Stegostoma tigrinum: one gene and its partners. Each later gene encodes a partner of the first gene's protein in a complex. Links are inferred from orthologs where the notes say so. Each region holds a gene or a part of one and is shown in the gene's direction. Other genes may lie near its edges. The genes, in order: med1, med16, med25 and med20.

The links.
Region 2: med1 (region 1) and med16 share a complex: the UniProt entries of both Homo sapiens proteins name them as parts of the mediator complex. The link is inferred for Stegostoma tigrinum from reciprocal best matches to the Homo sapiens genes MED1 and MED16.
Region 3: med1 (region 1) and med25 share a complex: the UniProt entries of both Homo sapiens proteins name them as parts of the mediator complex. The link is inferred for Stegostoma tigrinum from reciprocal best matches to the Homo sapiens genes MED1 and MED25.
Region 4: med1 (region 1) and med20 share a complex: the UniProt entries of both Homo sapiens proteins name them as parts of the mediator complex. The link is inferred for Stegostoma tigrinum from reciprocal best matches to the Homo sapiens genes MED1 and MED20.

Annotation. Positions count from the first base shown.
Region 1 is NC_081384.1:9,381,437-9,388,705, reverse strand, and holds the start of med1 (mediator of RNA polymerase II transcription subunit 1), read left to right. Parts: upstream 1-4,257; 5' UTR 4,258-4,278; coding exon 4,279-4,405; intron 4,406-7,269. UniProt on the Homo sapiens protein: Component of the Mediator complex, a coactivator involved in the regulated transcription of nearly all RNA polymerase II-dependent genes.
Region 2 is NC_081383.1:28,124,218-28,131,955, reverse strand, and holds the start of med16 (mediator of RNA polymerase II transcription subunit 16), read left to right. Parts: upstream 1-4,725; 5' UTR 4,726-5,018; coding exon 5,019-5,160; intron 5,161-6,763; coding exon 6,764-6,871; intron 6,872-7,484; coding exon 7,485-7,654; intron 7,655-7,738. UniProt on the Homo sapiens protein: Component of the Mediator complex, a coactivator involved in the regulated transcription of nearly all RNA polymerase II-dependent genes.
Region 3 is NC_081391.1:15,910,881-15,917,955, forward strand, and holds the start of med25 (mediator of RNA polymerase II transcription subunit 25), read left to right. Parts: upstream 1-4,065; 5' UTR 4,066-4,216; intron 4,217-6,399; 5' UTR 6,400-6,445; coding exon 6,446-6,579; intron 6,580-7,075. UniProt on the Homo sapiens protein: Component of the Mediator complex, a coactivator involved in the regulated transcription of nearly all RNA polymerase II-dependent genes.
Region 4 is NC_081374.1:14,512,878-14,520,105, reverse strand, and holds the start of med20 (mediator of RNA polymerase II transcription subunit 20), read left to right. Parts: upstream 1-4,228; 5' UTR 4,229-4,410; coding exon 4,411-4,424; exon of another isoform or gene 4,425-4,518; intron 4,519-7,228. UniProt on the Homo sapiens protein: Component of the Mediator complex, a coactivator involved in the regulated transcription of nearly all RNA polymerase II-dependent genes.

The DNA of each region.
Region 1 (7,269 bases):
TTTTGAAAAATATGAGCCTTATTATTAAGGCTCCCATTCATTACACATACTGGATTGTACTTAACAGGATGTTGTTGGGCTTTATTGAGCCAGTGCAACTTATGTGGTGAAGACGCATCTACAATGGCTTTAGGTAAAGAACTCCAGGAGTTTGACAACAATAAAAATATGGTCAATATCAATGTTCATGTATACTTGCTGCCCTGATTCTTTGTGAAGGCTGCAGATCTGGGAGATACTGCTGAGGACACACCTTAGAGAGTTTTTTTTCCACAGTGCAGTATAGACAGTACCGTAGACAGTTTCCAGTCAACCTGTTCAAAAATATTATTACACATGGCTGGGGCAGAGACAACTTGAGCAGGGATGTCCTGCCCCAGAGATAGGGATACTGCTGGCAGAGAGGATGAAGGTTTAAAGTATTGGCTAGGCTCCCAAATACATGCATTGTTTTTATCCATGAAAATTTTTGAAGTTCATGAATAGAGCTAGAGTCCACCTATCAAGGCAAGTGGTAAGTTTTTCATATAATTTTTGACTAGGGCACTGTGGTTAGGAGAATGGCTTTGAGCAACATGGGTTGCTGCAGAGTGCACAGTCTCTAATATACCTTCAGAGATAATGGGAACTACAGATGCTGGAGAATTCCAAGATAATAAAATGTGAGGCTGGATGAACACAGCAGGCCAAGCAGCATCTCAGGAGCACAAAAGCTGACGTTTCGGGCCTAGACCCTTCATCAGAGAGGGGGATGGGGAGAGGGAACTGGAATAAATAGGGAGAGAGGGGGAGGCGGACCGAAGATGGAGAGTAAAGAAGATAGGTGGAGAGAGTATAGGTGGGGAGGTAGGGAGGGGATAGGTCAGTCCAGGGAAGACGGACAGGTCAAGGAGGTGGGATGAGGTTAGTAGGTAGATGGGGGTGCGGCTTGGGGTGGGAGGAAGGGATGGGTGAGAGGAAGAACCGGTTAGGGAGGCAGAGACAGGTTGGACTGGTTTGGGATGCAGTGGGTGGGGGGGAAGAGCTGGGCTGGTTGTGTGGTGCAGTGGGGGGAGGGGACGAACTAGGCTGGTTTAGGGATGCAGTAGGGGAAGGGGAGATTTTGAAACTGGTGAAGTCCACATTGATACCATATGGCTGCAGGGTTCCCAGGCGGAATATGAGTTGCTGTTCCTGCAACCTTCGGGTGGCATCATTGTGGCAGTGCAGGAGGCCCATGATGGACATGTCATCTAAAGAATGGGAGGGGGAGTGGAAATGGTTTGCAACTGGGAGGTGCAGTTGTTTGTTGCGAACTGAGCGGAGGTGTTCTGCAAAGCGGTCCCCAAGCCTCCGCTTGGTTTCCCCAATGTAGAGGAAGCCGCACCGGGTACAGTGGATGCAGTATACCACATTGGCAGATGTGCAGGTGAACCTCTGCTTAATGTGGAATGTCATCTTGGGGCCTGGGATAGGGGTGACGGAGGAGGTGTGGGGGCAAGTGTAGCATTTCCTGCGGTTGCAGGGGAAGATGCCGGGTATGGTGGGGTTGGAGGGCAGTGTGGAGCGAACAAGGGAGTCATGGAGAGAGTGGTCTCTCCGGAAAGCAGACAGGGGAGGGGATGGAAAAATGTCTTGGGTGGTGGGGTCGGATTGTAAATGGCGAAAGTGTCGGAGGATGATGCGTTGTATCCGGAGGTTGGTAGGGTGGTGTGTGAGAACGAGGGGGATCCTCTTAGGGCGGTTGTGGCGGGGGCGGGGTGTGAGGGATGTGTTGCGGGAAATACGGGAGACGCAGTCAAGGGCGTTCTCGATCAATGTGGGGGGAAAGTTGCGGTCCTTAAAGAACTTGGACATCTGGGATGTGCGGGAGTGGAATGTCTTATCGTGGGAGCAGATGCGGCGGAGGCGGAGGAATTGGGAATAGGGGATGGAATTTTTGCAGGAGGGTGGGTGGGAGGAGGTGTATTCTAGGTAGCTGTGGGAGTCGGTGGGCTTGAAATGGACATCAGTTACAAGCTGGTTGCCTGAGATGGAGACTGAGAGGTCCAGGAAGGTGAGGGATGTGCTGGAGATGGCCCAGGTGAACTGAAGGTTGGGGTGTAAGGTGTTGGCGAAGTGGATGAACTGTTCGAGCTCCTCTGGGGAGCAAGATATACCTTGCTTGTCTGAACTGGTCTGGAATTGTGTGATTTCACTGCTGTTTATGTGGAGGGATTGCCTATTTGTTTTTAGATTGGTTTTTTACAATGCCAAATGCAAGGATTAGCAGATAGGGACTTCAAACCATGTAGAGTATTTGCATTCTGGTGGTCCCACATAACACCAAGTTTCTAGAACGTTGCAAACAGGGAGATGGGGCAAACTGCTGAAGGAAGTTGAATTAACATGAGGTAACATTAGGCAAGTTGCTATCAGAACAGTCTCTTGTCCGTTTTCAGGTTTCCTCTTCTCCTTCTCTATACCCAAGGTGTCATTGTCAGCAATTGCTAGTTCCAGCAGGAAAAGTTATTTTCTTCTTCCTTTCCATATCACATCCTGTAGTAATCTAAAATAATGAAGAAAACCATAATATTTAATACATAAAGTTAACATTTTTAATACTCAGGGAGTGGTAAATCTTTGGAATGCTGTGATTGGGTTGTGAAAGCTCAATCATTGGGCATATTCAAGACAGAAATAAATTAAATTCTTTAGATTAGTGGCATTAAACAATTTTGGAAATAACATAGAAAAATGACATTGATGCAGTTGATCAGTAATGATGTAGTTGAATTACACAGCAGCCTCAATGGGCTGAATGGCCCACTCCTGCACCTCTGTTCGGATATGTCCTTAGAGAATCCACATGCAGGGCTGCAGCTGCTACTCAGGGCCTTCTTCCCTTCAAAAAAATGGCAGCTTCTCCTGCCTAAGCATAAAGTGAAGTGAACCTGCCAGTGTCTGAGCTATCCCTGCAATATGAGACAGCAGTAAAGCACTGTCACCCATGGTCATGCCCAATTCAACTGGCTGCATCCTTCCCACAAGAGATTCCCAACTCCTACCAGTGCCAAGAGCAGGCTCAATGATAATGAGATTAAATCCCACTCTTTTTGCCCAAGTTGACCGCACCCTAAATTTCTATGGATCCTTACAGCTTCTGCTACAATTCATATCAAATGGGATTCATTGATCGCTTCAAGTTTCTATTAATTTGCATTCTGTCACCCTGACAGCCCTGCATTTTGCTTCATTTCGGTACCTTTTGGTACTTCTGGGATGAGCAGTGAGATGTGAAACTTCACTATCTCCTTATTTTATTTTCTTTTAGTTTAGTTTTGCTTTTACATTTTGCTAATTTGTCACCGATGTCTTGTAATTTAGTAAAGCAATAATGTCTCTGAGAGACATTAGTGTAACACATGGATTTTCATCATATTCCAGTAATGTCATTACAGCTATTGTTGTTGCTAAATTTTTAATCCAGACTTTTTAAAGTAACTATATTTTAATCCCCCAGCTACAAGCGACCCTGTCTCATTGTGAACTATCTACGTAATATCACACACATACAGGGTACTGAAATAGCTCCAACGAGGCCGGTATCCCATCACCAAGTCACCCTTTATTTACACATGGAGAGTCAGTAACACTGCTCCAGCTTCCTTAGAGCCAACTCTCAGAGTGAACAGAATCTCTGACCCGAGATAGTGGGAGCTGCAGATGCTGGAGAATCCGAGATAACAAAGTGTGAAGCTGGATGAACACAGCAGGTCAAGCAGCATCTTGACCCACCTGTTTATATCTGTCAGCCAGAGCTCACTGATTGGGGCAGATTAACAGTTCCAATCAGAGAAATCATATTCTGGTTGACCACATTATGATAACTACAGATACAGTTACACTCCCCTTGAAAATTTTAAGTGGAAATTCTATCCATGAAGTTGCCTTTATCGCTTTCATTAGACAACATGGTTCCTTTGTCTCCATCACTTCTGGGATGGCATAAATGAAATTATCCTTCAGTTGTTTCACAAATCTGTGTCCTCTGTCTATCTTCCTGGAAAGATTTAAAAAAGGAGTCTTACGAGGAGCAGGAGGAAGCCTGCACAATAAGAAAGATCCATAATTTCAACAAAAGGGGGAACTTCTGAACAATTTTATTCAATTTGGGGAAACATTGCAGTTTGGGTGCAGTTTCCCCCAGTTTGCCTCCAGGGGGCGATATACCAGCTTCAGTGACGTCTTGATCCCTTGCGTCGGATGTGACGCCGTTAACCTGCGCGGCCGGGCCGAGCGAAGGGGAGGAAGGGGAAGATGGCGGCGTTGCAGGGGTTCCCCGTTTCGGTCTCTTACAGCCACAGTGGCTGCGTCGACACATCGGCCGGGCCGCAGCCCCAGCACCAGCCGCCACACGCCGAGCGGAGCAAGGAAGAGGCGACAGGTAAATAAAGGCCGGTAACCTCGAGGCGGGGGTCTCGGTCTGCTGGGGGCCAAGGAGCTCCAAGGGCAGGAGACCCCAGGTGATCAGAGGCCTGAGGCTGGGCATCGGCCCTCGGTGGGGGGGGGGGGTCTTGGGTGGGCATCGGCCCTGGAGGGGCCAAGGTATGGGAACCTGAGGGTAAGGATTCGACCCAGATGTTAGGGGCCTAAGCATGGGTATTGGAGCCAAAAGGTCAGGGCTTGAGTGTAGGCATCCATTCCGACGGGCAGGAGCCTGAAAGTGAACATCTGGTCTGAGAGTTAGAGGCCTGAGGCTGGATAATGGACCAGAGGGGTAAGAACATTGGGTGGGCTTTGGTTCTGGAGGCTGTACGTAAATGATTTGGAGGAAAATGTATCTGATCTACTTAGTAAGTTTGCAGACCATACAAAGATTGTTGGAGTTGAGGACTGGAAGGAGGATTGCTTGAGGTTACAGCAGGATGGAGATCAGTTAGGCGAATGGGCTGAAAAGTGGCGGATGGAGTTTAACCCAGACACACGTGAGGTGAGGCCTTTTGGACGGTCAAGTACAGGTGGAAATTATACAGTGAATGGCAGGACCCTTAGGAGTGTTGACATGCAGAGGGATCTGGTTGTGAACGTCCACAGATCACGGAAGGTGGCAGTGCAGGTAGATAAGGTAGTAAAAATGGCTTATGGTATGTTTGACTTCGTTGGAAGGGGCATTGAGTATAAGGATAGACCAGTCATGCTGGAGCTTTATTGAACTTCACTTGGAATATTGCATACAGTTCTGGTCACCACACTACCAGAAGGATGTAGATGTTTTGGAGAGGGTACAGAAAAGGTTTACTGGGATTTACTGGCTGACGTGGCGACCTGATAGAAGTTTGTAATATTGTGAATGGCATGGATCAATGGAAGTATAAGGCTTTATCCCAGGGTGGAGGGGTCATTTACTGGGCCACACAGGTTCAAGGTGTGAAGGGGGAAGTTTAGAAGAGATGTGTGAGGAACATTTTTCACACAAAGGATGGTGAGTGCCCGGAATGCGTTGCCAGAGGAGTTGGTGGAAGCTGATACAATAGCAGCATTCAGGAAGAACCTGGACGAATATTTGAATAGGAAGGGAAAATAGAGATACAGATTCTGGAAGTGAAAACAGTTCTAGTACGGAAGGGGAAAATGTCAGTGCAGGCTTGGAGGGCTGAAGGGGCCTGTTCCTGAACTATATTTTTGTTTCTTGGGGCCTAAGGGTGGGCATTGGACCCCAGGGGTAGGGACCTCAAAGCATAACGGAGGTATTCGTGACCTGCCCCTTTACTGAATTCAAAAGCAATTATTAAATGACATGAATTACCCCCCGCACCTTTGGCTCCACATTGAAAATCCCTCACCTGCACAAGCTTTCAGGCACTGGTGGAAGATTTGGTTACCCTCTTCATCTATTGCTTTATGTGACAACAGGCCCAAGCCCTTCTTAAATAGCTGAATTTATTAACCTGAATGGGTGATCTGTGAGCTCGTGCATCCTAGGTCCTGTTGGATAAAATCAAAAAGTGGAGTGATAAGTAGGATTGATTGAGTTTATCCACCAATAAAAAGGTGACATGATACTCTGTCTATCTGGACACAATCTTTCCCATCAAAATTGTGTTTGTTGAAATTTCAACAGTTCAAGTAAACCTCGTATCAAAGTTAGATGTGATTATCCTTACAATGACTGCAGTCATCAAAACATTGCCATTTAATCTTTGACTAAAATTTTTCAGGCCACTTCTGTCATCACCAATGTCATGAGGCTCTTTAAAAGTCATTGAGGGCAAATACACTTTATTTGTCAATGAATACCACTACTTATTTCAGGCTTGTGTGAGTGATGTTCCTTATAATTGTACTGCTTGCTAGATAAATCAGGTCAGTTTATTTCGTCCATAACACTTATGGATGTACCCTTAGTAAATGGCAGAACCAGATGAGGCTGCAGATAAGTGTATAGGAAATGGAAACTGAAACTCCACCATGTGTGCCATGGAGATTCAGAAACGGTCACTTTCATATTGATTTGTTTATGACATAAAATCATAGATTTGCAGCATAGGGAGATTCTCAACCCATCGTATCTCTGACTGAAAAAGAGCTAATCAGCATAATTCCCCCATTTCTAGCCCATGGTCCATAATCTCCACATGACAGCGCTTCAGTTGCATGTCCAAATACTTTATAAATATAATGAGGTTTTATTCATGTACAATCTTTACAGGCAGGGAGTTGCAGAACCCCAGTACTCTTGTGAAAAGATTTCTCCTTAACCCTGTTCTAATCCTTCCACAAATTATTTTAATTAGTTTATGATCTCTTTTGCTAAGGGAAATTGGTGCTTTCGAGATTGGAAGTTTGTTTCTATTGGATTTTGTAAGAGGTTGAGTTGTAAGCGATATATAGCGATGGTTTATACTTAAACGTAGGTAGCATGATAGTGAAGAAATTGGCAGTAGACTGCATGAAAATATGTGTGGATTGGCCATCTTGTCAGAGAAGTGTTGAGTAGGAATCATTCCAGAGAAGCCTGGGGTAATGCATTTGGGGAGGGTCAAATTTACTGATAGGTTCCTGAGAAGTAACAGAGTAACATTGGAGTGCATGTCCATGGATCTCTGAAGATAGTCGTAAGATAGGTAAAAATATAAAGGCTGAGAGGTTATGACGAATTTGTACAAAATAAAAGCAAATTACTGTGGATGCTGGAGATCTGAAGTGAAAAGAGCAAGAACTGTAGAATCTATGCAGGTCTGGCAGCGTCTGTGGAGGAAGAAAAAAAGTTAACATTTGAAGTACAGTATGACTTTCGTTTGGAACTGT
Region 2 (7,738 bases), on another chromosome or scaffold:
TCTGTGAGGCAGAGAACTTTTTGGACAACACATTCAGAGGGGTGGCCACTGCAAGTTGTCAGACAGGGAATAGATTACTCCAGTCTGTCCAAGAGAAACAGGCGAGTAAAGCAGGAGTCAGAGGTCCCATTCACCGATTGGTTTTCCATTCTGGATATTGATGAGAGGATTAATCCTTGGAGGAGTATAAGAGCCACACCCTTGGCACCACAGTTGACCCAGATGTACAGGAGGGGATGAGAAAGAGAAGACACTATTGATGGGGGATTCTTTAGTTGGAGGAACAGATAAACCTTTCTGCAGCAATCAATGTGACTCCAGGATGGTGCATTGTCTCCTTAGTGCTAGCGTCAAGATTGTCACAGAATGGCTATGAGACATTCTGCTGGGGGAGGGTGAATAGTCAGAGGTTATGGACCACATCGGCACTAAAGAGACAGATTGAAAGGAGGATACAGTGCTGCAATTATGATTTAGGAAGCAATGTATAAACTTAGCAAGTAGGACCTCTAAAGTTACAATTTCCAGATGTCACTCAGTGCCATGTAAAAGTGAATACAGAAATAAAAAGCTAAGAAAGATGAATGTGTGGCTGAAAAGGTGATGCAGGAGGGAAGGTTTTAGATTTCTGGAACTGGCTGTGGGGGAGATGGTACCTTTACAGGACAGATGGGTTACATTTGAACAGAGCCAAGATGATCATACAGAACTTCAAAAGGACAGTGACAAGTTGTGGATTGGGTAGATAGGTGGCAGATGAAGTTCAATGTGGAGCAGTGCAAGGTGATACACCTTGGTACAACGAAAAGGAGAGACAATATGAAATAAGGGGTATATTCTAAAGGGTGCGCAGGAACAGACAAAACTCAGTGCATACATACATAGGATGTTAAAGGTGGCAAGACAGCTGGAGCAGCCGAATGATAAAGCATACAGCATTCTTGGCTTAATTAATAGGTTCAGAGAGTACAAGACCAAGGAGGCTATGATTAACATATATAAAACACTGGTTAGACCTCAGCTGGGCACTGTAAACAGTCTGGGCACCAGACTTTATAGGAAGGAATGCGAATGTATTGTAGAAAGGGCAGATGAGGTTTATGAGAAAGATTCCAGGAATGAGAAACATCAGTTATGAGGACTGATTACTGAAGCTGGGGCTATTTATCTTGCCATGGAGGAAGTGGAGGGGAAACTTGACTGAAGCCTTCGAACTCATGACACTGGACAGTATAGATAGGGAGAAACTGTTCTCACTTGTCAGAGGATCAAGATGCAGAAGGCACAGTTGTAAAATGTTTTGTAAAAGGAGCAAATGTGGACAAGAAAAAGGTTGCCCAGCACGTGTACAACCTCATCCACAACACAACTACAAATCTTCTCAAAAACTAAGAACTCATCTTTTCCTATCTTGATTCAGTCTATTCTCCCCGGTCCAGTCCCTGCCCACATATATCCGCAATTCCATTGACGCTTAACACCAATTTCGGAATTTCCAATTTGCAGGTTCCAGCCACTTCCACTTTATCATGGATGTGTAATCCCTTTACACATACAAACCCCGCTAGGATGGTCTCAGGGCAGTCCACTTCTTCCTGAACTGTCCCCACCCAGCACCACTCTCCTCCATTTGACCGAGCTCATCCTCAGCCTGAACAACTTCTCTTTTAACTCCTCTCATTTTTTTCAGGTCAGAGGGATGGCCATGTGTACCTGTCTAGGCCCCAGGTATGCCTGTCTCTTCAGGGGTACATGGAACATTCCTTGTTCCAATCCTATTATGGACCCCACCCACACCTCTTTCTCTGATATATTGAAAATGCCATCAGTGCTGCTTCCCTCTCTTCTTTGGAATTGGAAAAGTTAATTGATATCGATTCCAATTTCCTCCCTGCCCTCATTTTCATTTATCTCTGGTTTATCTCTGGCTTGTCCCTTCCCTTCCTCAACATCTCTGTTTCCATATCTGGGGATAGATTGGCCACTAATATCTACTATAAACCCACTGATTCCCACAGCTACCTGGATTATACACCCTCGCAGTCTGCTTCCTGTAAAGATTCCATTCTCCCAGTTCCTCTGTCTCCTTTGCATATATTCTGGTGAGGCCAGCTTCAACAAGACAGCCACTAAAATGCCCATCTTCTTCCTCAACTGAGGATTCTCCAGTTTTTGACAGGGACCTCAACCAGGTCCGATCCATCTCCTGCATTTCCACCCTCACCCCTTCTCCTCCATCCAGAAAACGATAGTGTTCCCCTTGTCCTAACCTACCATCCCACCAGCATCCACATTCAGAAGATCATCAGCTGCCATTTCCGCCACTTCCAGCGAGATGCCACCACCTGACATATATTCCCCATCCCTCCCTTGTCCGACTTCCGCAGCGACTGTTCCCTCTGTGACTCCCTGGTCACAACACCCAGCAACCCATAGAACACCATGGCACCTGTAACTGCCAAAGGTGTAACACCTGTCCATTTACCTTCTCCCTCCTCAACAACCAAGGGCCCAAACATACCTTCCAGATGAAGCAGCACTTTACCTGCACTTCACACAATCTAGTCCACTGCATTCGTTGCGCACAATGTGGGCTCCTCTACATTGCAGAAACAAAGCGTAGACTGGGTGACATCTGTGCAGAACATCTAAGTTCTGCCTGCAAAAAAGACCCTAAGCTTCCAGTTGCCTGTCACTTTAACACCCTGTTCCCTGTCAACATCTTTGTCTCAGGCTTGCTGTAGTGTTTGAGTGAAGCTCAGCACAAGCTGGAGGAAAAATACCTTATTTTCCACTTGGGTGCATCGCACCCCTCCCGACTCAATACAGTTCAATAATTTTAGGGCCTGAATTCTCCTATGGATTAGACCCCAACCCCACACAACAGGCCTTATTATCATATAACCTGCCATTACATATTTTAACTATTGTTAGTCCCCTTTCATTTCACCATTACCTATTGTTGGTCCCCATTAACTGCTATCCATCCTCCTAACCAGATCATTATCCAGCCCTTCATCTGTCCAATTGTTCTTCTTTCTCTTTGCGCTTTATCCCACCTATCATTTACTCCTTACCCTCTGCTATCTTCTGCATATAAACCAACATTTTCCTAGCTACCATCAATTCTGAGGAAGGGTCAACAAATTTGAAATTTTATCTATGGTTGATCTTCTAAGATGCTGCCAGACCTGCTGAGCTTTTTCAGCAATCTCTATTTTTGTTTCTGATTCATAACGTTTTGCCTAAAAATGCCTGGTAGAGGTAAATTGAAATGAAACATTTGATGGGAAATGTCAAGATTTATTTAAAGAGAAATAATATGCAGGGTTACAGAGAAAAGGCAGAGTTTGGCACCAAGTTGAAATGATCAGAGAGGCTTTTGCAGACAATGGACTGAATGGCCTCTGTTTGCACCACAGCAATTACGATTTAGAAACTATTTAGGTGACATTCATTCTCTTCAAGAATGATCCCCAGGTTACAAAGTCATTTAAACGTATCAAGTCCTGTGTTTAAAAAGTGATACACACGTAACAAATAACTATTTGGCCTATATAAATTTATATATTTTATTAATGTGCCCCAATAGAGAAGCTGTTGTTAGAATAAGGAAAATGCATCTGGAAAGGGGGTAGAAATGCTGAAAATGTAAAATAAAATGTAGAAAAACCGCAGCATGGTAAAATAGAAACAAAAAGATATATGCTTAAATTCTCAGAGATAATAGGAACTGCAGATGCTGGAGAATCCGAGATAACAAGGAGTGTAGCTGGATGAACACAGCAGGCCAAGCAGCATCTTAGGAGCAGGAAAGCTGACGTTTCAGACCTTCTGATGAAGGGTCTAGGCCCAAAATGTCAGCTTTCCTGCTCCTAAGATGCTGCTTGGCCTGCTGTGTTCATCCAGCTCCACGCCTTGTTATCTTATATTCTCATTTCACTTTCAGATAATGGAGTGATTTGTTGTATTCTCCCAGTAATTTAACTAAGGTACCAGTAAATGTATAAACACTTCAATAATTGGAATGGGTCAATGAGGGACTGCACCTTTGATTCTAACATTCTTTTAAAATCAAAACAAAAACAAAATCTGAAGGTTTGCACAAACAGAGATTCTTAAACTAATCGCCTAGGGAAAACATGTAAACATGTTTGTACTTTCTACCATTTATCAATAATTTAAAAACTACAGAAATCCGTTAATTGACAAAACGTTCTCAATTCAAAGTGAAATCTCAAAGAGCCGCATCGCCTAAGTAACGGTTGCAGGAACAGCAACTCATATTCCGCCTGGGAACCCTGCAGCCCAATGGTATCAATGTGGACTTCACCAGTTTCAAAATCTCCCCTTCCCCCACTGCATCCCTAAACCAGCCCAGTTCATCCCCTCCCCCCACTGCACCACACAACCAGCCCAGCTCTTCCCCCCCACCCACTGCATCCCAAAACCAGTCCAACCTGTCTCTGCCTCCCTAACCGGTTCTTCCTCTCACCCATCCCTTCCTCCCACCCCAAGCCGCACCCCCAGCTACCTACTAACCTCATCCCACCTCCTTGACCTGTCCGTCTTCCCTGGACTGACCTATCCCCTCCCTACCTCCCCACCTATACTCTCTCCACCTATCTTCTTTACTCTCCATCTTCGGTCCGCCTCCCCCTCTCTCCCTATTTATTCCAGTTCCCACCCCCCATCCCCCTCTCTGATGAAGGGTCTAGGCCCGAAACGTCAGCTTTTGTGCTCCTGAGATGCTGCTTGGCATGCTGTGTTCATCCAGCCTCACATTTTATTATCACATTTTATTATCTTGGAATCTCCAGCATCTACAGTTCCCATTATCTCTCGCCTAAGTAACGCATGCGCCGTGTCAATAGGCCGATCCAGTGATGGGCGCGCTTGCGCTGAGTGGGACAGGATGAGGCGCGCTTGCGCTGAGTGGGACAGGATGAGGCGCGCCTGCGCGCTGTGTGCTGCTGGTTGGGCGCCTTTGCGCTCTGGACGTTGAGGAAACAGTAAACATGGATATAGCGTATGTATGTGAGTGGGAGAAGCGGCCGAAGAGCAATTATTGTCCGTCTGTACAGTTGGTGTGTGCTTGGTCCTGCAGAAACCTGGTTGCCTTCACAACGGATCTGAAGAACGAGGAAGAGCAAGAACAAGGTCAGGTTTTGGGTCTGGTCTGCCTCATCTTTTCACTGTATTTGTTCAGATGTAATAAAGTTCATTTTGAGTTAAAATTCTTAAGTATCTCCAGTATTCGCTAACGTTTTGACCTAGTTTTTGCAAACTTGAAAGCAGCTTGGTAAACAGCGTGTGACTGTTGTTAGGTGAACAGAAATGTCAGTCCAGTTGCAGAGAATAAGATCTCAACAGTAATTTAAGGTGATCAACTTATGTTTCGGTTATCAATGTAGGGAAAGAAAGCCTTGCCACCTAATCAGAATCTATCATACTGCAGTTATCAATTTTTGCAGCTTGGTCAGGGGTACTTGTGCCTTCAAGCCTCACTTCAAAGAGTAGAGCACAAATACATGCTGAAACATCAGTCACTTTAACAGGGAATAATGTGCCATGAGAGAAGGTACCACCTTTGAATTGTTGGGGTCCTCTGAAATGTATGTTAAAGATGCCAAGGCACAATTTAGGGCAGGGTATGGTGCTTATTTCTGGTGTAGTAATTGTTGTTTATCTCTCCAATCAATGTCTGAAAACAGACTAGTGTTTTCATTTGCATTATTGTTTGTGAGATTTTGCTCCACACAACTTGGCCTTCTGCATTTCCCAAATTACAATAGTGGCTTTATTTCAAGATGTGTTTTAAGATATCCTGACATTATGAAAAGTCCTATATAAATGTAATATTTATTTATTTTTCTTGCACTGCATGCTTTTGACTTGACATTATTGAACAAGTTTGTTTTAATGCAAAGCCCATACCTCTGAGGATTAAGATATTTTGTTCTGTCTGTTGGTAAATATCAAAATGGATAGGTTCAAAGAATTACTGTGGCTACAAAAGCAGCAGATTGTGAGAATTAAATTTGTTTCTGTCAGCAGTAAGAGGAAGAGAGATTGGCTTTAGATTATTTACTAAAATAACATTTCCTGATTTAAACTCCAACCCAATTTTTTTTTTTAAGTGTAACTAGAAATAAATGAAAAGCTTTCAAATATACTGGAGTTGTACCAAATATGACAAATATCCAAGATGCTGTTAGGAAACTGTAACTTCTAAATAGAAGTCAAAACAGAGGACTGGAGTAAGTTAAAAGCATTTGCCGTAACAGTTGAATATTGATGCGACAAGATAGTTGACCCAATGGCTTGTAAACAATTTCCCTATGTTCTGCCTCTGACAGGATTTAAACAATTGCAAAAGATGATAACCAAAATTTTGAACTAGACGTGTGTTGCCAACTTGAACTATTTCAGTGCAGTGCACTTGTTAAAAGGAAAGGAATTTCCAACATACTGGGGTCTTGATAAATACTTTGCAACAATGAGTTCAAGCCCCAAGCTTTACTGTCTTGTGGGAGGTACCAACTTTTGCATTCTTACTGAATGCTGACCGGTCCACCTGAAATTGAGCTTTCTTTCTCTTTACATTTGTTCCTAAACCTGGTATTTTTTTTTTCAGTATGTAGACCCAATCAACTTGCTCTGTGTTTCCAGAATTTTTTGGTATTTTGCTTATTCATGGCTTAATTGAGAATATTTTAGCAATGAGACTGTACAGAGTTTCCTAACAGTATCTTTTTTATAGATCTTACTTATATGATTCACATTTTGGATACTGAACATCCTTGGGATGTTTACTCGATTAACTCAGGTCATCATGAAGTGATTACTTCTCTGGAGTGGGATCAATCTGGTAAGCCTTTTTTAATGAACCTGCAATCTGTCCCAGCACCACAAGATTCAATTGTGAAATGAACAGGCAAGTCTAGATATGTAGGAGCACCACAAATTTGATAAATAAATAACTATGCATAACAAATTATAATCTGATGAAGATCAGTTATTCTTTCTAATTGGTGGTGCCTGATGGTACAGAAAGTTTAGGGCTTAAGATCTGACCTGTTCAATGTTTTTCCCTATTGCCTGTACTCTCATTTAAAGATGTGTTAGGTAGAAAGTTGAGATAATGTTTCTGCTTTACGCTGTATGTATGGAAGCCACAAAATGCAGAGCGTACTGTTGATTTTACCACAAAATGCAGAGAAAAACTCTTTCTCGATATTTCGCAGAGGCATGGTCACCCTGGTCAATGCTTCATAATGAATAGATGACATACACATTTCTTTATGTGGATAGCTGCTACATTGTTGACTGAATTATCTTCTGGCTTCAAATTTAATGTAGTTGGAAAGAAAAATTAGCTCAGGAACTGAATGGTATCATAATTGTTACTAAAATGTATGTTTTTGAATTGAGTTGCCTATTTAAAATGTATATTATTTTGCTTCACTCTGTCTCCTTTGAAGGTTCTCGGTTATTATCTGCTGATGCTGATGGTCGGGTGAAATGCTGGAGTATGACTGATCATCTGGTAAACAGCTGGGATAGCACAGTTGGGAGTTCAGTGGACGGGGACCCCATTGTAGCCTTGTCGTGGCTACACAACGGTGTCAAGTTGGCCTTGCATGTAGAAAAGGTATATGCTACAGTCAAAGTCTTCAGCAATATTTTAACTACCTGTCAAAATCCAGTATCTTGTCTGAAAAAAAGAATCAGTGCC
Region 3 (7,075 bases), on another chromosome or scaffold:
TTGAAAATAGAGTCATCAGCCCTTTGCTTTCCCTAATTCTTGCTGAACTAGAATGCTAGCATGTAATTTATACGTCGGCCCCAAAATATAAAGTGCTGTGGCTTTCTGAAATATTTCCCCATTTAAATGATATTCAGCTTTTCTGATCTTCCTGCCAAAGTGCATAACCTAACATTTTCCCACATTATATTCCATCTACCACTCACTTAATTTTGCCATTCACTTAACCTGTGTATATCAATTTGTAGACCGCATCATTCTCACTACTTGCTTCCCAACCGTTCTTGTGTCGTCCACAAACTTAGTGATAGTATATTCACAATCTCATCCAAGTCATTAATATATATTCTAAATAATTGTGGCCCCGTACTGATCTTTGTGACTTTCTACTAGTTATAGACTGCCATCCTGAAATTGTTCCTTTTTTTCTACTCTGTCTGCTGTTATTGAGCTAATTTGCTATTCATCCTAATATTATTACCACCATCAACGTGGTCTCTTATCTCTTATTAAGTTGCCTTATGTGTATGCCTTTTGGAAATCTAAATCTATTACATCTAAAATTGCCCTTTATATATCCAGCTTGTTACCTCCTCAAAGAACTGAAATAAATTTATCAGGTTTGATTTCCCTTTATAAAGTCAAGTTAACTGCTTGATTATATTATGTATTTTTAAATGCCTCAATATCATATTCTTTATAATAGACTCTCATATCTTCCCAGTGACAGTTGTTAAGCTAACAGGCTTATAGTTACCATTCTTCTTCATTTACCTCCCTTTGAATATGGATGATATGTTGATAGTTTTACAATCTTCCGTGCTTTTTCAAAATCTAAAGATCCTGGATGTGAGTTTGCTCACTGAGCTGGAAGGTTAGTTTTCAGACGTTTCATCACCATTCTAGGTAACATCATCAGTGAGCCTCCGACGAAGCGCTGGTGCTATGTCCCACTTTCTATTTATCTGTTTAGGTTTCCTTGGGTTGGTGATGTCATTTCCTGTTCTTTTTCTCAGAGGATGGTAGATTGATTTGGAGCCAATGTGTTTGTTGATGGAGTTCCGGTTGGAATGTCATGCTTCTAGGAATTCTCGTGCGTGTCTCTGTTTGGCTTGTCCTAGGACGGATGTGTTGTCCCAATCAAAGTGGTGTCCTTCCTCATCTGTATGTAAGGATACGAGTGATAGTGGGTCATGTCAGGAGGAAGGACACCACTTTGATTGGGACAACACATCCATCCTAGGACAAGCCAAACAGAGACATGCACGAGAATTCCTAGAAGCATGGCATTCCAATCGGAACTCCATCAACAAACACATTGATTTGGAGCCAATCTACCATCCCCTGAGGAAAAAGAACAGGAAATGACATCACCAACCCAAGGAAACCTAAACAGATAAATAGAAAGTGGGACATAGCACCAGCGCTTCGTCGGAGGCTCACTGATGATGTTACCTAGAATGGTGACGAAACGTCTGAAAACTAACCTTTCAGCTCAGCGAGCAAACTTACATCCAGAACCTCAACCTGAGCTACAAATCTTCTCAAAACTCGCTAAATCTAAAGATGCTTGGAAAATTATCATTGTGCAAGAACTATCGCTTTAGCTCCTTGTTTTAAAACCCAAGAATGTAACTTTTCTTTTGTGATTGTTATTTTATTTCCTGCTCTTTTTTAACTCTTTGATTGTTTAGCATTTTTAGATTGCTTTTAATGCCCTCTTCAGAGATCTGATGCAAAATATATATTCAATTCCTCTGCCATTTCTTAATTCCCCATTATTATTTCACCAGCCTTATTCTCTAAAGAGTCCATGTTAACGTTGGTATCTCCCTCTTCATTTTTATGTTTTTAGAGAAGCTCTTGCTGTCAGTTTTTCTATTACTTGCTAGTATGCTGTTTTGTTTTCTCCCTCTATTTTTAGTAATCTTTGTTGACTGACACATTACCAAACATCCAGGAATATCTCCAAACAATACCCTTTGTACTTCTTGCTTACATATCAAGCATCTCTGACCCACATCCTCTTGGAATAGGCAACCAAAGGCAACTCAGGAATTTTGTAATAAAACATTCTTCTCCAATCATGGACAATCAAGGAATAAAGTATCCAAGAAAAGGGTAATGTCCCAATTATAACAAAGACAAAATGAAAAATTAAATGGAAAGTAGTAAACACAAAACCCCTAAGCCTCATCCTTCATACACCTCTGCTCCAACATTTTCCCCCATCATCATCCATGCCACCTCATGACCTCCACCTGTCCTCCACTGCTGACCCCTCATAATACCATGTTAAGATTAGACTAGATTCCGTACAGTGTGGGAACAGGCCCTTCGGCCCAACAAGTCCACACTGCCCCTTGGAGCATCCCACCCAGACCCATCCCCCTATAAAGCTTTGGCACTTCCATTTCTTTTAGTCCACTATACACTGTATAAAACCAATGGATCTTATAATACAATTGTATGTGCAATAAATCACTAATTTATAACTTTGCAAATTTATTTTTAAAAGATTCCTTATAAAAGTGTTGTTCATCCAGACCCTGATAAGTATTAATAACAGAAACGATAAGCTTTTGAAACATTCCAATTACGGATTGTGGAGATCAGAGTACCAGAGCTGTCAATCAAGCAATATTTTCCCTGGGACTGTGCCACAGCGCAGAATGGATTCTCAGGCGCTTAGCCAAGTCATATTTTGCAATTCAAGTGCACTCGGGCTTTTTTTCTGAAAGAGTACGACATTCAGAGAAAGAAATGTGCAGTCTGCTAAGAGTAAATAGTGATCATAGTGTATGTAGGAGTTAACGTTGAAAAAGAAAGACGTGACCGTGGATCTTTATTGTCCTACCAACCTGTTAAAAGTACCACTGCAAATTCTTGTGCTGCCGATCCCTGAAGAATGTCTGATTTTTCACAAGTGAGTTGTTGAGGTATTCAATACTCAACTGCTTTAACATACGAAAGGCAACTTGACGTATTTCATTTTTTTAAAAAAACACATGTCTCCAATATTGAAATGGATTTTATGGTCTGATTTGTCCCTTTGGCCATCGAGTTATAGGGATCTACAGCGCGGAAAAACGCCTCCGATCCATTATCTTTCTCACTGCTAATATTTCTTGGCATGACCAGGAATCAAGTGGTCGTCTCCAATAAAGGTTAGGCTTTATTCTGAAAAATGGAACAGAAACGAGTCGCTATCTCCTTCTGCAGTTCGATGTAAACTATGTTTGATAATCTCTCTTTCGAAGAAATTAAATGGGTTTCAGTACTTTAAAAATAATAAGTGAACGCAAACTGTTGTATACTAATTCCACAAGAGAACAAGACTTATTTTCTAAACAGCAAACTGACTTCCCGATTTAGGACTATTTTCAGTCAGTAATTTGCTGATCACCATGGCAATGGCGGCCAAGGGGGCGGCTTTTGGGACGTCATCTGAAAACGCTCTATCAATTTCCCTGAGAGCCTGGAAGCGGGTGTGGTCCAGCAAGCACGTTGGCCGCCGCTTTGGTGTCACGTGATAGATAAGGGCGCCGTTTTCTCGCAGCTGGGGAAGGCGATGACCCGTCAAGTGCATGCAGCTCAACCAATGGTGACGACCGGGATTAGGGGGCGGGGCTGCATCTGATTCACGTGACGCAGCTGACTGGCGAACTGAAGGCGGTGTAGGATATGAGGCTCTCATGGGCGGGACTAAATAGACGTTACGTGACGCGTCATTTGGTGCGAGAGTGGGTGAGTAAAAGTGGCATGACGGCACGACGTCATGTGATGCACGTTGGCGGGCTATTTGTGTTCACCAAGAAGGCAAGAGGGTCAGGCTAGAGTGGGCGGCACCCATGTTCGCGGCGACACGCGTGGAGAGGCAGGACTGTCAGTGTTACGTTTTTTAATGGGTGGGGCAGGTGTCGGGGGCGTGTAAAGGAAGCGTGGTCTGGGCACGAATAGGCGGGGCGCCCCGTTTTGTCATGTGACGGTTGGAAACCATGTGGGCGGGTACCGTTTTGTGTGACGTTTTTTTGACTGGCGTGAGGTGGGCGGGCGGGTTTGTGGTATCACGTGAGGTGGCTGTTTGCGCTCGAGCCGCTTTTCTCCCGCGGCCTGGTGGAAAAGGCTGAGGGAAGATCAGCAGAAGTTGCAGTCAGATCGAAAAGATTCAAACGCCCTTTACTGCGATGTGGAAAGGCGAGAAACCGCCTGTGAGGTTCGTTAATCGTTAAACGGCGAGCCTCTTCTGTGTGAATGACTGTCATATAAAGGGGAGGAGCCCCCGCTGTAGGGCAGTTATTTATTGGAAAGCAAAACCGATGCTTCACGTTATCACAGTACACGTTTTGAAGGAAATTTTTCATATCTATTATGCGTTTATTTCTTTACGAGACGTCTTGACAGGTTTTGTTCATTTATTTTTTCCAAATGGCAAAGTGTTAATGTTTGAAACCAAAACACACGTTGCTAGAAAAACTCAGCCGGTCAGGCAGCATCTGTGCAGACAAAGTTATCGTTTCGAGTTCAAAGACCCTTCTGCAGAACCAGCAACTTTTGTTTTTTCCCTCCAGATTTTTTAGCATCCACAGTTCTTTGTTTTATTTATTTGGATTCAAGTCCCTACCTGCTCCAGGAGATAGGGACATCAGAAATAAAGTGCTAGAGAAATACAGTGATAATGGGAACTGCAGATGCTGGAGAATCCGAGATAACACAGTGTGGAGCTGGATGAACACAGCAGGTCAAGCAGCATCTCAGGAGCACAAAAGCTGACGTTTCGGGCCTAGACCCTTCATCAGAGACGGGGATGAAGGGTTTAGGCCCGAAACGTCAGCTTTTGTGCTCCTGAGATGTTGCTTGGCCTGCTGTGTTCATCCAGCTCCACACTTTGTTATGCTAGAGAAATACAGTCTGGCAGTATCTATGGAGAGAAAAGCAGTTAAGCTTTCGAGTCCAGTGATCCTTCATCAGAACTGAAAACAGCTGAGAATTGGACTTTTTGCTGATGATGTGGGGTGGGGTAAGGAGAGAATTGAATGGATGGAGATTTAGCACCGTTTCATGGCTGAAAAATAAACTGTAAGTGAGGAATGTGGGTAGCTCTTTATGACTTAAGTGCTTGGCTGTCTCTCTTTATAACTTTGAATTTAGTAAGATCAAAACAGGAGGAGGCCATTCAGCTTAAGCAGTCTTGCCTTTCAGAAATCTCGTAGCTGTCCTCCAACCTTGCTGCATATCGTCACATTTGAACCACGTCCTCTATATTTGGTTAAAAATCTATCAATCTCAATTTTGAAACAAACCATTGCCGTAGCATAAATTGCCATTTGTAGGAGAGAGTTCCTTTCTTAACTTCCTCTGCTTGAAGGGTGATAGTTTGCATCTTCTTCAGTCTTCCCTGGTACCATTCTAACAAAATTGTTGTACTCGCTCAGTATCCTTTATATCCTTAGTCAGTGATTAGTTCATCTCTGGGAACAATTGGGACACAGTTGGTGGTCCTGCTGCACAGAGTGGTCTCCCTGGATCTGGGCCAGAAGAGCTGTGTACAGGGCTAACTTTTCCAGAGGTATAAAAACCAAGTCAGAGTAGATTGATGAACATTGGGGAATAAATTCGATGGTAACAAGAAGAACATATTATGTAACACTTTTTTAATCTAAAGCAGTGTAAGGATTTTGGCACAAAAAGCGAAGTTGCTGGAGAAGCTCAGCAGGTCTGGCAGCATCTGTGAAGGGGGAAAAAAAATCAGAGTTAATGTTTCGGGTCCCGTGACCCTTCCTCAGAACTGTTTTTGGCCCTTTTTTGGCTAAAATTTCAATCTGTTCTCTTTTGGACTGTGGGCAATGATGTTATTTAAAATCTATATATCAAAAATGACTACTCCCTCACACTTCTCCAACTGAGGTGTTTACAGTCAAAACCTAATAGCACCTGTCTTAATTGAATTGTATGTCAATTTTCCAATCCGACTAACCCTCTTTGTACAGTCAACCTCTGTCTCTTCCCTCCACACTCCACTCTTCTTCCTGCCCTGCAGCCAAAAAAAATTACTGAGATGTAAGAATATTGCTACAGGACCGAAACACACACAAACTATAGTGTTATAACAATGTGTAGAGCTGGATGAACACAGCAGGCCAAGCAGCATCAGAGGAGCAGGAAAGTTGACATTTTGAGTCAAGAAGGGTCTCGACCTGAAACATCAGTTTTCCTGCTCCTCTGATGCTGCTTAGCCTGCTGTGTTCATCCAGCTCTACACATTGTTATCGCAGATTCTCCAGCATTGGCAGTTCCTACTATCTCTAAACTGTAGTGTTACCTTGGACGTTAGCCTAACTTGTAATAGGAGTCGTATCTGTTAACAGAACACTTGGTTATTTTTTTCTTTCCATACAGCTGCCCCTGTGTAAAAGCAAAGGCTTCACAGTGACTTGCGAACACCATGGTTGTGCCCCCTATTGATACTCCCACCCCTTCCAACATGGTAGCAGATGTGGTTTTTGTTATCGAAGGTACCGCGAACCTTGGGCCATACTTTGAATCTCTCCGGAAGCATTATATTCTTCCAGCAATTGAGTAAGTGGACCCTGTACTGTTTGTGATTACCCGAAGCAGACCAAGTTGGCTTTTTTCTATGAGGGAATGCTATGATCTAGTGGCTGTGGCATTGTGCTAACGTCCCAAAGGTGCTGTGCGCAAAACCGACTGATTCATTCTTGTTCTTATGGAAATGAAGCCTGTCCCCTCCCTTACCCAGTTCCACCATTTCTTAACTCCTGTACCGGTGTAAGGGAATCACTCCCTGTGCATTGATCAGGTTGATATAATAAATATTTGAAGTCGTATTGTTTGTGATAGGGAATAAAGTTTGCTTCACCATGCTGTAAGGGAGACCCAGATGCTGAAGCCAATGAAAATGATATATGGAGGGGTAGTCAAACAGACCCTTCGAGGAACAAAGTGCAAGATTTTACAGACTGTGCCCCTTTAGAAAAGAGATGACTGAGAGATGACCTGATGGAGACTGAGGATGATTGAATGGCTATACATCAGGAAGATGTTTCCGTATGCT
Region 4 (7,228 bases), on another chromosome or scaffold:
TAACATTTCAACACTTGCAATGTATTCTGATTACCTTGTATGGATCAGATACAAACTTGGTTTATTTGTCTATTCTGACAATAAAAAGTACTTGCAGATGGAATCTTGGCTGATTCCTTCAGTTCTGTTAATTGCTGATTTGGTGCTAACATTTACTTGTTCCAAACTACACTGATTTGTGCATCCATATGCAAAAGTACTTTTAGAAAGTAAGTCACTGTTTATTGTCAGTAGAACAAAGCCTAAGGGGTATATTTCATTTAAAGTAATTCCCCAAATTTTATTATGTGTTATGATTTTATTTCCTTCATTATTATTCCAAAGTGGGAAATAACCTTCTACTTCTGCTAAATTGCACTTCCTTCCTACAAGAATAAATGTTTGTCCCCATAGAACAATATATATCTTGAGTGGTTTCTGGGGTGAAACAAGGACATTATGTGCATTTTTATTAAAAATCTGTATACTTTTCAGGTCAAGAATGGGATGGTGTGGCCTTTGGGAACAGAAAAACCTGCATGAGTGAATAATCATTGTTATAGAACTTTTGTTTTTACTACTGAGACATGATAGATGTCATTTTTGATTAAGATTTCCATCATAGTTCAAAATGCAGGAGGAAAGAGATATTATGCAGTTTTGCACTGTTACTTTTGAGGTGGGAAGAAATGCATTTGAAGGCCACATTCTTTGTGCTTTTAGAAAAAAATTGTCTTTGATGGCCATAGAGTAGAATAGATTTACCTCCTCCAGCTATATTTTTATGTTCTTAAGAGAGCTCTTGTTAAATAACAATGGTGAATTCTCACTCTAAGGTTTAATTGTGACCCCTTTGATCATTTTACAGAGCTTTCTATCCACTGCTTGTTAAACTATTCTTGATCAACCTCATACTCAATTTATTTAAACTGCTGTATAAAAATATTTCACAGTAGTTGTGTTCATGCGTATTATGCATATAATTTGTGATTTTGATCATGATAAATTGAATAAATATTCACGTATAACCAAATACCAGTTTCATTTTGCTTATTGCAACATGTAGATGAATAGGAAGGTTCAGAAGGATGTAGGCCAAATGCTGGCATATAGGTCTAGATTAGGTTAAAATATCAGGTCAGCATAGTCAAGCTGGACCGAAGGGTCTGTTTCTGTACTGTACTACTCTATGACTCCATGTTCTCTTAACAATATAGAACTTTGCTTAAAACAGTCTATTCTGTGTTGACCTATAAAGTTAACTTCTTGTTAATCCCAAATCCAATTGAAAATTAGTTTTAGAGATAATGGGAACTGCAGATGCTGGAGAATTCCAAGATAAAAATGTGAGGCTGGGTGAACACAGCAGGCCAAGCAGCATCTCAGGAGCACAAAAGCTGACGTTTCGGGCCTAGACCCTTCATCAGAGAGGGGGATGGGGAGAGGGAACTGGAATAAATAGGGAGAGAGGGGGAGGCGGACCGAAGATGGAGAGTAAAGAAGATAGGTGGAGAGAGTATAGGTGGGGAGGTAGGGAGGGGATAGGTCAGTCCAGGGAAGACGGACAGGTCAAGGAGGTGGGATGAGGTTAGTAGGTAGATGGGGGTGCGGCTTGGGGTGGGAGGAAGGGATGGGTGAGAGGAAGAACCGGTTAGGGAGGCAGAGACAGGTTGGACTGGTTTTGGGATGCAGTGGGTGGGGGGGAAGAGCTGGGCTGGTTGTGTGGTGCAGTGGGGGGAGGGGATGAACTGGGCTGGTTTAGGGATGCAGTAGGGGAAGGGGAGATTTTGAAACTGGTGAAGTCCACATTGATACCATATGGCTGCAGGGTTCCCAGGCAGAATATGAGTTGCTGTTCCTGCAACCTTCGGGTGGCATCATTGTGGCACTGCAGGAGGCCCATGATGGACATGTCATCTAGAGAATGGGAGGGGGAGTGGAAATGGTTTGCGACTTGAGAATGGGAGGTGCAGTTGTTTGTTGCGAACTGAGCGGAGGTGTTCTGCAAAGCGGTCCCCAAGCCTCCGCTTGGTTTCCCCAATGTAGAGGAAGCCGCACCGGGGAACCCTGCAGCCATATGGTATCAATGTGGACTTCACCAGTTTCAAAATCTCCCCTTCTCCTACTGCATCCCTAAACCAGCCCAGTTCGTCCCCTCCCCCCACTGCACCACACAACCAGCCCAGCTCTCTCCCCCCACCCACTGCATCCCAAAACCAGTCCAACTTGTCTCTGCCTCCCTAACCGGTTCTTCCTCTCACCCATCCCTTCCTCCCACCCCAAGCCGCACCCCCAACTACCTACTAACCTCATCCCACCTCCTTGACCCGTCCGTCTTCCCTGGACTGACCTATCCCCTCCCTACCTCCCCACCTATACTCTCTCCACCTATCTTCTTTACTCTCCATCTTCAGTCCACCTCCCCCTCTCTCCCTATTTATTCCAGTTCCCTGTTCCCATCCCCCTCTCTGATGAAGGGTCTAGGCCCGAAACGTCAGCTTTTGTGCTCCTGAGATGCTGCTTGGCCTGCTGTGTTCATCCAGCCTCACATTTTTATCTTGACAATTAGTTTTGTTTGGAGGGAAATCTTCAGGACAGAAGAAACTAATGTGAAATTACTGGCTTTACTGAATTTTTAAAAAATACTTTTGGCATTTTTAAGTGTGAAAGGCCTTTCAGTCAAATGCTGTAGGTATGCACGTAGAATAAATTAAAGGATCTACTGATTTTCATTCATTTTAGTGGATTTTATTATTGAACTCTATAAAATACAAACTTAAATTCTAACATAATAATAAAACAGAGAACTGTGGTTGTTGAAAATCTGAAACACACAAAATCAGTAAGATGCTATCAGACCTGCAAAGTTAAACTTTATTTTGATACCTAATCTCTTATGTGTTTTTTTCTGGATTCCATTAGTTTGCACAATATGCATTTTGGCACTACATGGGACTTCTTTGATTGAAGTAAAAGGAGACTAACCCTAACCCTAACCCTAAACCTAACCCTATCGCAGGAGACTTTGAGGAGTAGTCATACAGTTATACCGCACAGAAACAGACGCTTTGGTCCAACAAGTCTATGTCGAACATAGTCCCAAACTAAACTAGTCTCACCTGCCTGCTCCAAGCCTCCCTACAAATCTTTCCTATTATCTACTGATCCAAATGTCTTTCAAATGTTGTAGTTGTACCCACATTCATCACTTCCTTAGGAAGTTCATTCTGCACTCAAACCATCCTCTGTGTAAAAAATTTACCCTTTGTATCTTTTTTAAATCTCTCGCCTCTCAATTTAAAAATATGCCCCTGCTCTTGAAATCCCCCATCCTAGAAAGCCACTATTAACCCAGTAGTAGTGAGAGAATAGGAACTGCCGATGCTGGAGAATCTGAGATAACAAGGTGCAGCGCTGGATGAATACAGCAGGCCAAGCAGCATCAGAGGAGCAGGAAAGCTGACTTTTTGGGCCTAGACCCTTCTTCAGAATCTTTCCAGACCTTTCTGAAGAAGGGTATAGGCTCGAAACGTCAGCTTTCCTGCTTCTCTGATGCTGCTTGGCCTGCTGTGTTCATCCAGCTCTGCAACTTGTTATCTCATTAACCCAGTAGTCACTACTGTACTGTAGAAAACATAGTGTCGATGGAAGAGATAATGGGAACTGCAGATGCTGGAGAATCCAAGATAACAAAGTGTGAAGCTGGATGAACACAGCAGGCCAAGCAGCCTCTCAGGAGCACAAAAGCTGACGTTTCATCATTCTCTAATGAAGGGTCTAAGCCCAAAACGTCAGCTTTTGTGCTCGTGAGATGCTGCTTGGCCTGCTGTGGTCATCCGGCTTCACACTTTGTTATAGTGTAGATGGAATACAAGGTGTGGAGCTGGATGAACACAGAAGGCCAAACAGCATCTTAGGAGCAGGAGATGCTGCTTGGCCTGCTGTGTTCATCCAGCTCCACACCTTGTTATTTCAGATTCCCCAGCAACTGCAGTTCCTATTTTCTCTGTAGATGGAATACCTCTTTATTTAAATAAATCATGTGCTTAATTTTGCTTTAAATAATTCCCTCAATTACGGTATGAGATCGTGATCAAGTTTGTCTTAAAGGCAAGAGACGTTTGTAGGAAATGGATCTTTAATGCTAGCATAGCTCCTAAGCCCTGATTCTGAAGACCAGTGGCAGCCAGGAGGTCTTCTTGTCCAGTAGGGGCGCGGTTGCGGGAGAGTCATCGTGAGCGAGGTGAGAGACGCCTCTTGGAAGGTTTGTGAGCTTCGTTGTGGGGATAGCTCTGGGGAGGAGATCGAGGATAGATCGTTACTGGCACCGAAAGGAAAAGCGGAACATTGAGATCTTATCTTAGCAGCAGGAGGTGACTCAGGAGGGTGCTGAAGGATTGCAGAGTTGGAGGAAGAGCCGGAGCTGAGAGGATGGGTGTTACCTGGTGAGAGGCACCTTCTTTATGAACTCTATTCATTAAACAGAACTATCAGTGCGGGGGAGGGAGTTGAGCCTTAGCAACGCTCCCAGACCTGAAGGCAAGTGCATTCAGCAGCCTGTGAGTTCCAGAACAATTTCAAACGTTAAATTTGTATTATATTAGAGCAAAAAAAGGTCACCAAAGCATCCCTCTATGCAAGGAGCCTCTTAATTGCTTAATACATTACAAATCACTGTAAGGTAAAATACTTGTGTCAGATTCGTCAATTTTTATCTTAAAATGTTTTATTTCTGACATGATTACAGATTCTGACCAGTTCCTCTGTACTGCCTGACGTGGGTTTAACTGGAATCCACATGCATGTTAATATTTAGGCCTCTCAGAGGGCTTAAGATTCGAGACTTGCTTTGCTGTCTGTGCTCTGAGTTGTAACTTGAACAAGAAGTTGAGTTTATTTTTGCCCCAGAGTATGGTGGGTGTGTGGAACTTACTGCCTGAAAGTTGTGATGGTAGTAGAAGTCCTCTTCACACTTATAAATCCTTGGATGCTCACTTGAGGTTCCATAACCTGCAGGGTCATAGGCCAAGCTCTGGAAAGTAATATGGGCACAATGGGCCTGAATGGTCCCTGTCACAGCAGTAAATTTTCTACGTTTCAGAGCAATTTTGTTTGAAAGCACCATTAAAGGTGCAGGAAAACAAAAGCAAAGTACTGCGTGTGCTGGAGATCTGAAACTAAATTAAAGAGAAACTTGTATTTGAGGATCTCTGTCACAAGAGAAACAAGCAGTGGAGTTTTGAGTCCAATATAACTCTCATGAACTGTTCGTATTGAACTTGGAACATCTACTCTGTTTCAGTCTCTACCGGTGTTACCAGACCTACTGAGTTTCTCTAGTCCTTTTCTGATGAAGGGTCTGGGCCCGAAATGTCAGCTTTTGTGCTCCTAAGATGCTGCTGGCCTGCTGCGTTCATCCAGCTTCACACTTTATTATCTTGGATTCTCCAGCATCTGCAATTCCCATTATCCCTTCTCTAGTACTTGCAGTTTTCCAGCAAAACTAGAATCAATAGGTATCAGGTGCCAACTCCCCAGTGGTAAGAGTCATACCTGACACACAGGAAGATGGTCATTGTGGTTGGTCAGTCATCTCAGCTCCACCACATCTCTGCAGGAGTCCCTCAGGGTAGTATCCCAGGTACAACCATCTTTAGCTGCTTCATCAGTGACCTTCCCTCCAACATAAGGTCAGAAGCAGGCATGTTCACCGATGTCTGCACAATGTTCGGCACCATTCGTGACTCCTCAGACACTGAAGCAGTCTGAGCCTAAATGTAACAAGATCTGGACAATATCCAGATTTGGGCTGACAAGTGGCAAGTAACATTTGTACCACACGAATGCCAGGCCATGACCTTCACTAACAAGAGACAATCTAACAACTGCCCCTTGATATTCAATGGTGTTACCATCACTGTATCCCCCACTATCAACATCCTGGGGGTTATCATTGATCAAAAACTCAGCGGGACTCAGGTCAGAGGCTAGGAATATTGCAGTGGGTAACATGACCTGACTCCCCAAAGCCTGTGCGCCACCTACAAAGCACAAGTCAGGAGTGTGTTTGGAATACTCCCCACTTGCCTGAATGAGTGCAGCCCCATCAACACTCAAGCTTGACACCATCCAGGACAAAGTAGCCTGCTTGACTGTCACTGAATCCACAACCATCCACTCCCTCCACCAGCGATGCTCGGTAGCAGCAGTGTGTACTATCTATGAAATGCACGTCAGAAATTCACCAAAGATCCTCACAGCACCTTCCAAACCCGCGACCACTTCTATCTAGAAGGATAAGGGCATCAGATATATGGGAGCACCACCACCTTAAAAGTTCCCCTCCAAGCCACTTGCCATCCGGACTTGGAAATATGTTGGCATTCCTTCAATGCTGCTGCGTCAAAATCCTGGAAATTCCTCCCTCATGGCTTTGTGAGTCAATCCACAGCAGGTGGACTGCAGCAGTTCAAGAAAGCAGCTCACCACCACCTTCTCAAGGGCAGTTAGGGATAGGCAATAAAAGCTGGCCAGCCAGATGCACCCACATCTCTCAAAATGAATAAATTTTAAAAGTTTTTATATAATATCAGATGCCCATGTAGACACCAGCAAAAGTTGGTCTTGTCTCCCCGCTCCACACAGCCAATCCTTTGAATGAACGTCTTCTGAATAAAGGCTTATGACAGACAAAGACAAGTTTGGATCCTCAAATGCCAGTGAGAGTAGGTGTGAGCTCAATTTCAAACTTGTGTTCCTGGAGGATGGCACTGAATCCTAACACCCTTGAGGCACTGCTCCGGGAGTGACAGGGAGCTGCTTGCCCCCAGTTAATGTTAAGCTCCTTGAAGAGTTTATTAACTGGGTTGATGTAAAGGTAATTTTCAATGTGAAAATCAACAAACCCAAGCAATTTGGTACACTTTATGGTCTAGATTAATTTAGGGTATCTAGTCAGCATGGATGAGTTGAACCAAAGGGACTATTTCTGGGCTGTACAATTCTATAACGTTATCTGTCAGCTTTAATTTGGGGATGAGTGGAAGTGTTTTCACTACATTGGATCATAGTCATACAGCATGCTCGTTTGGTCCACCTCATCCATGCCAACCACTTGCCTGTATTTGGGCCATACCCCTCCAAACCTTTCCTATTCATATATTTATCCAAATGTCTTTTAAATGTTGTAACTGTGCCCGCATCCACACTTCCTCTGGCAGTTCATTCCACATGTGAACCAATCTCTGCA